Linked DNA regions of Cricetulus griseus. The protein of the gene in region 2 purifies or fractionates together with the protein of the main gene of each other region. This does not show direct contact. Links are inferred from orthologs where the notes say so. Each region holds a gene or a part of one and is shown on either strand. Other genes may lie near its edges.

The links. Proteins that work in one complex are often made in the same cells at the same time.
Region 1: the proteins of Pag1 (region 2) and Fyn purify together in Homo sapiens (co-immunoprecipitation; 3 studies listed by BioGRID and IntAct, with this or other methods). This does not show direct contact. The link is inferred for Cricetulus griseus from reciprocal best matches to the Homo sapiens genes PAG1 and FYN.

The regions. Positions count from the first base shown.
Region 1 is NC_048595.1:262,065,917-262,069,375, forward strand, and holds the end of Fyn (tyrosine-protein kinase Fyn), read left to right. Parts: intron 1-1,262; coding exon 1,263-1,471; 3' UTR 1,472-2,436; downstream 2,437-3,459. UniProt on the Homo sapiens protein: Non-receptor tyrosine-protein kinase that plays a role in many biological processes including regulation of cell growth and survival, cell adhesion, integrin-mediated signaling, cytoskeletal remodeling, cell motility, immune response and axon guidance.
Region 2 is NC_048595.1:138,036,539-138,041,516, forward strand, and holds the start of Pag1 (phosphoprotein associated with glycosphingolipid-enriched microdomains 1), read left to right. Parts: upstream 1-1,860; 5' UTR 1,861-2,278; intron 2,279-4,978. UniProt on the Homo sapiens protein: Negatively regulates TCR (T-cell antigen receptor)-mediated signaling in T-cells and FCER1 (high affinity immunoglobulin epsilon receptor)-mediated signaling in mast cells.

The DNA of each region.
Region 1 (3,459 bases), about 120 Mb from region 2:
GACAAAAAAAAAAAAAAAAAAAAAAAAAAGGCAAGGGCGAGAGTACCTGAAAGTAGCTGGGAGGTCACACTAAGTGTGGTATTTCCTGTGCTGTCAGGAAGGCCAGTGCAGGGCAGGCTGTGCTCAACCTCCCGCCACGTCCAGTCAAGAACATCAGCACTAGGCAGTTCCTGCATAGGGGCAGGAAGGTGTCAGATGATAGATGGCCTGCCCGAGGTCATCCATAAACAAAGGCCCTGCCTCCCTGTCAAAAGTTCCCAAACCTCCGAGCACTATGGGGGTCACCAGGCCAGATGGTGCCCAGCCCTGCTGGCATGAGGGCAAGTCTCAGACACTGTGCACAGGCATGGTGAAAACTATAAAGGCCCTAAATGGATCGTGTATGTTCTGCAAATAGTAGACTGCTTGCTCATATTCCATGGGGTATTTGTGTGTGCGCTTTGTTCATACAGAGGTTTCTTTTTAATTGTGTTTGTGTGGGGATATCTGCATGTAAATGCAGGTATCTGCAAGGGCCAGAGGTGTCAGATCTTCTGGAACTGGAATTACAGGCAGCTGTGAGCCGCCCAGTGTGCATGCTGGGAACTGAGCCCAGATTCTCTGCAAGAGCAGGACACACTCAGAGCCACCAAGCCATGTCCCCCACTCCTACGTTTTTATCTGTTTGACTGAGGTACAATTTACACACAACACATTTTGTCTAAGAGCCACGTCAGTACACACATGCTACACTGGGGTCACAGCCTGCAGCCCATGGGCCAAGCCTGGCCGCCCACCTGGTTTTATCTTAAGTCCTTTCTGTGGCATGAAGAAAACAAAGCTTGCATTCGCCCACCCAGACAAAAATATTTGCTGTTGGCCCCTCACAGGAAAAGCATGGGCATTGGACACACCACTTCTCTCACTTCTCAGCTCCCCCTGACCTTTCACCGGTGTTCCCTACCCCTAGCAGCCACTGATCTGCTTTCTGTCATGCAGTCTTCTGCCTTCCTGTGGTCTAACATAAATGAAATCATCTAGTATGTTGCCTTTTGTGTCTGGCTTCTTTCACTTGCAGTGCTTTGAGATTCACGGTCTGGGCTTTTGCATCTATGAGTTCTTCATTCCTTTGTTCCGTTCTTTCTGCACGGTGTGACAACCGATGAAAGGCATAGTTCCCCTCCCAAGAGGGTGAATGGCATCCCTATGCTTTACCTGTGTGACATGGTAGTCAAGGCCTAGAGCCCAGGCATGCCTGCTCTCACTGCCCCTTGTTTTTGTAGGCATGAACAACCGGGAGGTGCTGGAGCAGGTGGAGAGAGGCTACAGGATGCCCTGCCCACAGGACTGCCCCATCTCCCTGCACGAGCTCATGATCCACTGCTGGAAAAAGGATCCGGAAGAGCGCCCCACTTTCGAGTACTTGCAGGGCTTCCTGGAGGACTACTTTACCGCCACAGAGCCCCAGTACCAGCCCGGTGAAAACCTGTGAGAGCCTGCTCTTCAGAGACCTCTTCTGAGGCCTCCCCACCCCTCCCCATTAGCTTCCAGTTCCGTAGCCAGCTGCCCTGAGCAGCAGAACCGTCCAGGATCAGATTGCATGTGACTCTGAAGCCGGCGAACTTCCACGGCCCTCATTAATGACATTTGCCCCCCAGTCCGAACCTCCTCTGTGAAAGCATCCAGACAGAACCGTGTTATTTCTCAGACTTTGGAAATGCATTGTATCGATGTTATGTCAAAGGCCAACCTCTGTTCAGTGTAAATATCTGCTCCCGTGCCAACAATCCTAGTACTTTCCTTTTTTAAAAAAAAAACAAAATGCAAATCCTATGTGATTTTAACTCTGTCTTCACCTGATTCAACTAAAAAAAAAAAGTATTATTTTCCAAAAGTGGCCTCTTTGTCTAAAACAATAAAATTTTTTTTCATGTTTTAACAAAAACTGATCAGGACAGGTGTTTGTTTTTTTTCTTTTTTATACATATGAATATATACGTAAAATGTTCCTGTATATACACCATGTGGGTGCTACCATGGAGACTGTGGCCAGCAAAGGCCACATAGTTACAGGGCCCAGAGTGAGGATCACTGGGGAAACCTGCATCTAAGCACTGGTGTTATTTTGAAAGCCGGTGGCCTCCGTTTTTTACTTCTACAAAGCATGATTTTCCCCCCTTCATTTGGATTGCACTTTTTCAGTTCCAGTCATACCTGTAGATTGTTGTTCATGTGACTTTTCAGGTCCCTGAGCTGAGTTCACGCATTTTAGTGCCCGTTTCGCTCCAGCGTACTGTGATCTGTTCTTGCGACTTGAGAGTGAGCACACTTAAGCAAGCAGCCATCCAGTCCTACCCTGAGGGCTGCAAGACGGAGACCGCATAGACTTGCTGTATAGATATGAATGCTGACTTGTTTTAAATGTTCTTCTTTTATTTAATAAATCTTGTAACCACATTTAAATGGTCTAAAACCCATATAGCATTGTAGTCACGGCAGCCTACTAAACTTTCTCATGCAGCTAAAAATGACGGGGAAGGCAAGGGTGGGGGGTTGTACATGTCCCATTGTAAAATAAGTGTTCCAATGTCCTGTACTGCTAATGAATGACTCTCCATGTCGAGCGTACTCCAGTCAATAACTATGCACTACTTTACATTTCATGGGGGTGCACAAGAGGGTTGCGTTTTCAGTTGCTGTTTGTACCAACCTTGAATTACATATGTTTAACAACAACAAATCAATTCCTATTTCTATTGAGTTTTTTAATACTGAATAGCAACTCTAAAGTCTTAATTCCTTTTTTGTTAATGATTTATTTGTGAGTTTACATTTTTAATTGTTTAACTTTCTTAATTTAGTAATTAAAAAGAGAGCATTTTACATTTGAAAAAAAATTTGTTCATTTGTGTACATCACAGGAGGTACCATAGGCGTTCTGTGACATATCTGTCCCACACCAGATGGTGAAGAATCACCTGGTGAATTTGGCCATTGGGCAATGATTTCCAAATGACAGAAACATTCAGAACATCTGGAGACCCTCCCCACTAAGAGTCAAAGTGATTGTCTGACTAATTCAGAGGACTGTTGCAGCCAAACTGGGCATTCCTGAGTGTTGTAGTCTATCTGACCCTGTCTCTAAATGAAATTTACTGTGTCTCATTTGTAGAGGAGAGAGAATAGTCTTTCTTGATCTTGAGACATAAATACATTTCCAAGTATCCCTCTACTTCTCTAATGTTTTCTAATGACTAATGAAGTTGTTAAGCAGGAGTCTATGTGGTGGGTGGGCCAGGTAACCGTCCACCATCATTCCTGCAGAACCTGCGTCGTCTCACCTGCCAGCCAGTGTGCCGACAGGAGGTACAGATGCACTCTCCTTGCACCCTTAAGACTCCAGGGTCTCTGGTGTCATATGGAGCCACACAATGAAGAAGAGGGTTTTATTGTTACAGAAATAACATTTACCTTTAAAAA
Region 2 (4,978 bases):
CAATGATCCTTCCATCTCCCCACCCTCAGATCTAAAATTACAAATGTGTGCTTCTACATCTGGCCTTTTAAGAGAGTTCTAGGGATCTGAACTTAGGTCCTCATGTGTGTATGCAGCAAGCACTTGACCAACTGAGCCCTCCAAAATGTGTTTTGAAGTGTGTAAAATAGATAAAATAACTTTCCGTGTCTATTTAGAAGATCATTGTGGGATTCTGGAGGCAATTGTGATGTTCCATCTTGTCAGCTTTCCAGGATTTAGAGTCTCTTTGGAAACAAACCTCTGGGTGTGTCTGTAAAGGTGTTTTCAGGGAGCTTTACATGAGGAGGGAAGCCCTGTGAGCAGTGCTTTATCATGGACTGGGATATTGGAATAAAAAGGTTAAGCCTCTAAGCGTTCACCCCTACTGAAGATGCAGTGTGACCAGATGCTTCACACCCCTGTGGTCTGCACCATTGGAGACTGGACCCTCAAACCATGATTCAGAATAAAGGCTTCCTACCTTGAGTTGCTGTTGCCAAGCATTTCGTTAAAGCAATGAGAAAAGTAACTAACACAGCTTGGTTGTGAAATCCACAGCCTTACCAGCTTGTGAACCAGTGAGCTTCTAGCCATCCTCTGAAATGGGAGGCCAAGCCTGATCCTGCTTTGCGAGCCCTGAAGTATCTTTCCAAGCCAAAGGTTGAGTCAAAAAATCTCCCCCACACTCTCCTCTCCTCTGCAAAATATTAACATTCCCTTCTCAGTCACTGCTTCCATTCCCTCACAATGAGCCCTTTTTATCCAGGCAACTTGCGCTCCCTTTAAAAGTGAAACATATGTATCCAATAAAGTGAATGTGTGTATGTTCAATATCTCTAGTGCCGTTTCTCCTGTTAAAAAACTCTTAAGAAATGCATGCAGAAAAACTGGGCTACTCAAAGGACTGGTTGGTTTAGAATTCTTTGAGTTCCACATCTGGTCTGGTTATGTGTTACTACAACGTCTATCTTCAATCCTAGGTTGCAGGTGTAATAACCTAAAATTTGAAGCCAACATAACCCCAGTCCGATTTATCTACAGAGTTTTACAGGCGTTATTACAGGGCCCCACCCCCACCCACTTTGTCTAATGGCTGAACCAGAATCACTGTGGATACGCGTTGGGAATTTGTTTTCTTGAGTTAAAAGCTCTTCTCACTGATTCTCCAGCAGACCAACACTTGAGAAGCTGCTCCTAGTTCTTAGCCCTCTACTTGGCAAGGATGCGGGGCGGGGGAGGCTGGCAGCACTGGTGTCTTCTTGGACCTATTGGAGTGGGGATTCTTCCAACTTCCAGACTCTCTGAGTCTTCATGGGCAGATCTGTATTACCAAACAATTAGTATATTCTGTATCATTAGATGCTTATTTACAATTTGCAAACCTGGGTCCCACTGCTCGAGTCTCCTGTGCTTATTTTGGGGATGCGGTCGGGGCAAGGGCTCTCACAAGCTCCTCAAATTCTTACTTTAGGTAGGTATGGTCAAGGTGAAAGAAGGTGTCGCACAAATTGCAGCCCTTGGGGGTTAAAGAATCACCTGAGTTAAACTTGGGACTTGTGGCTGTCCTGGGATCCTAAGACAGTTCCGATATACTGCCTTTTAAGGGACAATGAGTTCAGAAGACAACCTCCTGTCACAGAGCTTTAGGTTATCAGCCCCATTTGCCAGCCTCCAGCACCTGGCCCTGCAGTGGGCCAAATTAGTTTCGTGCCCAGGACCCCGCCCCACCCTGCTCTCTCCGCCCAACCCCGCCCGTTAGTCCCGCCCCCGTGACGTGCCGCAGCAATCGCGAACATGCGCACTGGCTCCCGCGCGCCGCTCCTCGGCGCTGTCATTCTCCGCGGCTCGGCGGCCAGTGCGGACTGCGGTTCCTGCCCGGCGCGCGGGCGCTGTGACTGCTCCTCGGGGGCGGACCGGCAGCTCTGCAGCGCGTCGGCGCCTCTCTTGCGGGGACTCCGTGGCGTCGCATTTCGTCGGAGCGGGAGACACGCACCTGGAGCTCCGAGCGCAGCTCTCAGGGTCTCGCGGCCGCTACGGCGCTTGCTCCGGTCCTCGGCGCAGTCCGGGTAGCCGAGGCCACCCGGTGCGCCCGGGAGAGTGCGCCGCCCCGGGCGCGGTAGAGCTCAGGCGACAAGGACCGGGAGAATCCTGCACCCGCTGCCACCCGCCACAGAGGGCCAGCCCGGATGCATACGACGGAGTTGCAGCGCTTCTTAGCTCGTTGAAGCCCCAGAAGACCCCTGCCTCCTGAGAGCCAGTAAGTTGACTGTAGTTTCTGAAGTTGCAGGCAGTGTGGGAAGGACAGGTTCGTTTGATTCCTGTCGTGCCAGGCCGAGGTGGCACCTCCTGGCTGCAGCTGGAGGAGGGAGTACTGGGCTGCAAAGGAGGGGGGCATGTCACTCGAGGACTTAAGGCTGGAGTCCAGGGCTGGCTCCTGCCTCTGCTGATTGCGCCAGTTGGAAACGTGCTAGGAGAGACAGGTGCTCTGAGGGCATTTGGCCCGCCGCTAATTGCACATTTTGAGCTCCTTGATTCTGCGCGGCGTGGGGTCAGGGGCGTCCGCCACCTCCATCCTAGGAAGCTCTGCTGACATCCCCTCTGAGGACTGGCACAGAGATGAGAAGCTGAGACATTGCTGCTCAGGCCTGCAGGCTTTCTGTGCATCCCACTTCACTCTCCCCCTAGGCAGAAGTTGGCACCCTCCCATAATTGGAGCCTAATCCTTTAGGGAAAAACAACTTCTATGTCAACTGAGTGTTTTGTGCTCTAAGGCAGAGAAAATGAGAAGAACGATCTGCGCGCTTTTATGCATATGCTTTAAGAATGGAGGCAAGTCTCAAAGAAAGAGGATTCAGATGGTGGCTGAGTTGTCCTGCATCTCTTATGTAAGCCTCCTGGCTGGGTAACTTTGCATCCGCAGGGGCTGCAGCTGTGCCTCCACTCCATTTGTTTCAAGTCCAGCTTGAACCGTATTTAATGAAAATGTTGACATGATATAGCGGCTTGTAGTCAGAAACAGGGCAGTCTTTAAATTGAAGCGTCTTCTCCTAATGGGGAACACCGGAGGAAGAACTCGGTGTATTTTTCAAGACAGTTCAAGGAATTGGATACATAAATCATGCTTTAAAATACCATACATAGTACAGAGACCATGCACAGGACCCCCTTTAGAACACATCCCCTTTTGTTTTAGGGAGAGTGGAGACTGTTCATGCCAGACAATTGTTGAGTCTGAAAGTTAAGTGCACTGATGGGCTTAATTATCTTAATAAACAAAGAGCATGATTTATAGGTAGCTGCAGTGGCCTACTTTGAAGGGTAGAAATCTTTAACCTTTCTTTCTCAGCTGCCCCCTAGAGATTCTTTTAAAGCAGAGCAATGGATTAATGCCATTGATGTTAATACTTGAGCTGATTAAATTGTAAAAGGAATTCTTTGAAATACCATACAGCCCTGCTGTGTGGCTGATAGGCAGTGAAATTATAAAGAAAGATAATATTTAGAGCACTGACCATAGGAGGCTTTACATTAACTAAATATCTCATGTTGCAGCTGCCATGTGATATGTATGCATCTACAGATAGAAAGAAATCTGTACAGAGAAAAATACATGCATTTGGATTTGAAATAAAAACTCAGGGATGTGAGTTAATATAATATTTTAGATGACCTTTAGAAAGAGGAGTGTATATATTAATGTGTTTCAGTGAACAAAACAAGATGAACTAACTAGTGACAGGCACCTGATTTAAACATAGTTTTTTATTTTAAGAATTCTAAGAGGAAAAAAGGTACTGTTTTAAAGTTCAAAAGCCAGTCAACACATTGAGTTTATAAGAGCATTGAATGCTGACCTCTAGAAGAAATTGTAGCCAAGTGTGGGCATTAAACAGGGTGGCCTGTTGTGTCAAGGAGCCAGGCTGCTGTCTCTATTGCTGGCATTGAATCTGGGCAAGTTACCACAGTTCTGAGCCTCAGTGTCTCCATCTGTAAAACTGGTGGGTGTAGCCATAGGACCTCCCTCATTAGGTTGTGGGAGGATTAAGTGGAATCTTGCATGTGAAGGCATTGAGCTGGTGTCAAATATATTAGGCTGGCTTTGGGGGAAAAATGTTCATTGCTTGAGAGGAAATTTGTCTTGGGATAAGCTGTAGACATTAAGCAGCTGTTGCTGGAGGTCCAGAGAAGCAGTTCACAATTGTAATAGGAGAAAGGATGTAAACATAATGGCCACAGGCTAATATCCTAATATCGGACTTACTGTCTCCAGCAGAACCTCCCCAAAGGCCTTTGAGGGAGCTGGCTTTGTCTAGGTGTTAGAGAGGAGGAAACTGAGGCTGAGATCAAATATTATAAATTAGAGCTAGCATTTTAAACATGCCTGTTAGAAACTGTCTTCTTAGACACAGCTGCCTCAACTTGCAAGCAAAGTAGATGGTTTATTATCTTCTTTATCCATGGGACGTTTATGTTTAAAGTTTAAAATATGCAAACTGCTAACCAGAACTCATAGTGCAGTTCTCCATGATGGGAAGCTATTATCATCGTCATTGTTGTTAAATACCAGGCCCTGGTTTCAAGACCCCTTTAGTCCTGGTGTGAGAGAGGTAACTGGCATTTTTGCCTTCAGTTAGAACCGGATTATGTTATTTCTTTCTCCCTCGTCTATATACTCATAGAATCAAGAAAACTTGGTGTAACTTAATGCTTTATATTGGAAGTTGATTCAATCTATTCAGCCTCCTGCGTCCCTGTGTAGTTGCTGTGGGTCACACAGAGTAAGTTACTACAAGCAGCAATAATCAGACTACATTGTCTCCAAGCATAGGCCAGTCCATGGGAGAGCTCCACTCAGGCAGAAATGGGGCCTTGTGCTTAGCCTGGATTCAATGTTCTGAAATGGAAATCATTTCTCCTTTGCAGCGTGTTAGTTTCAAACCCACGGGAAGAAGTGGAG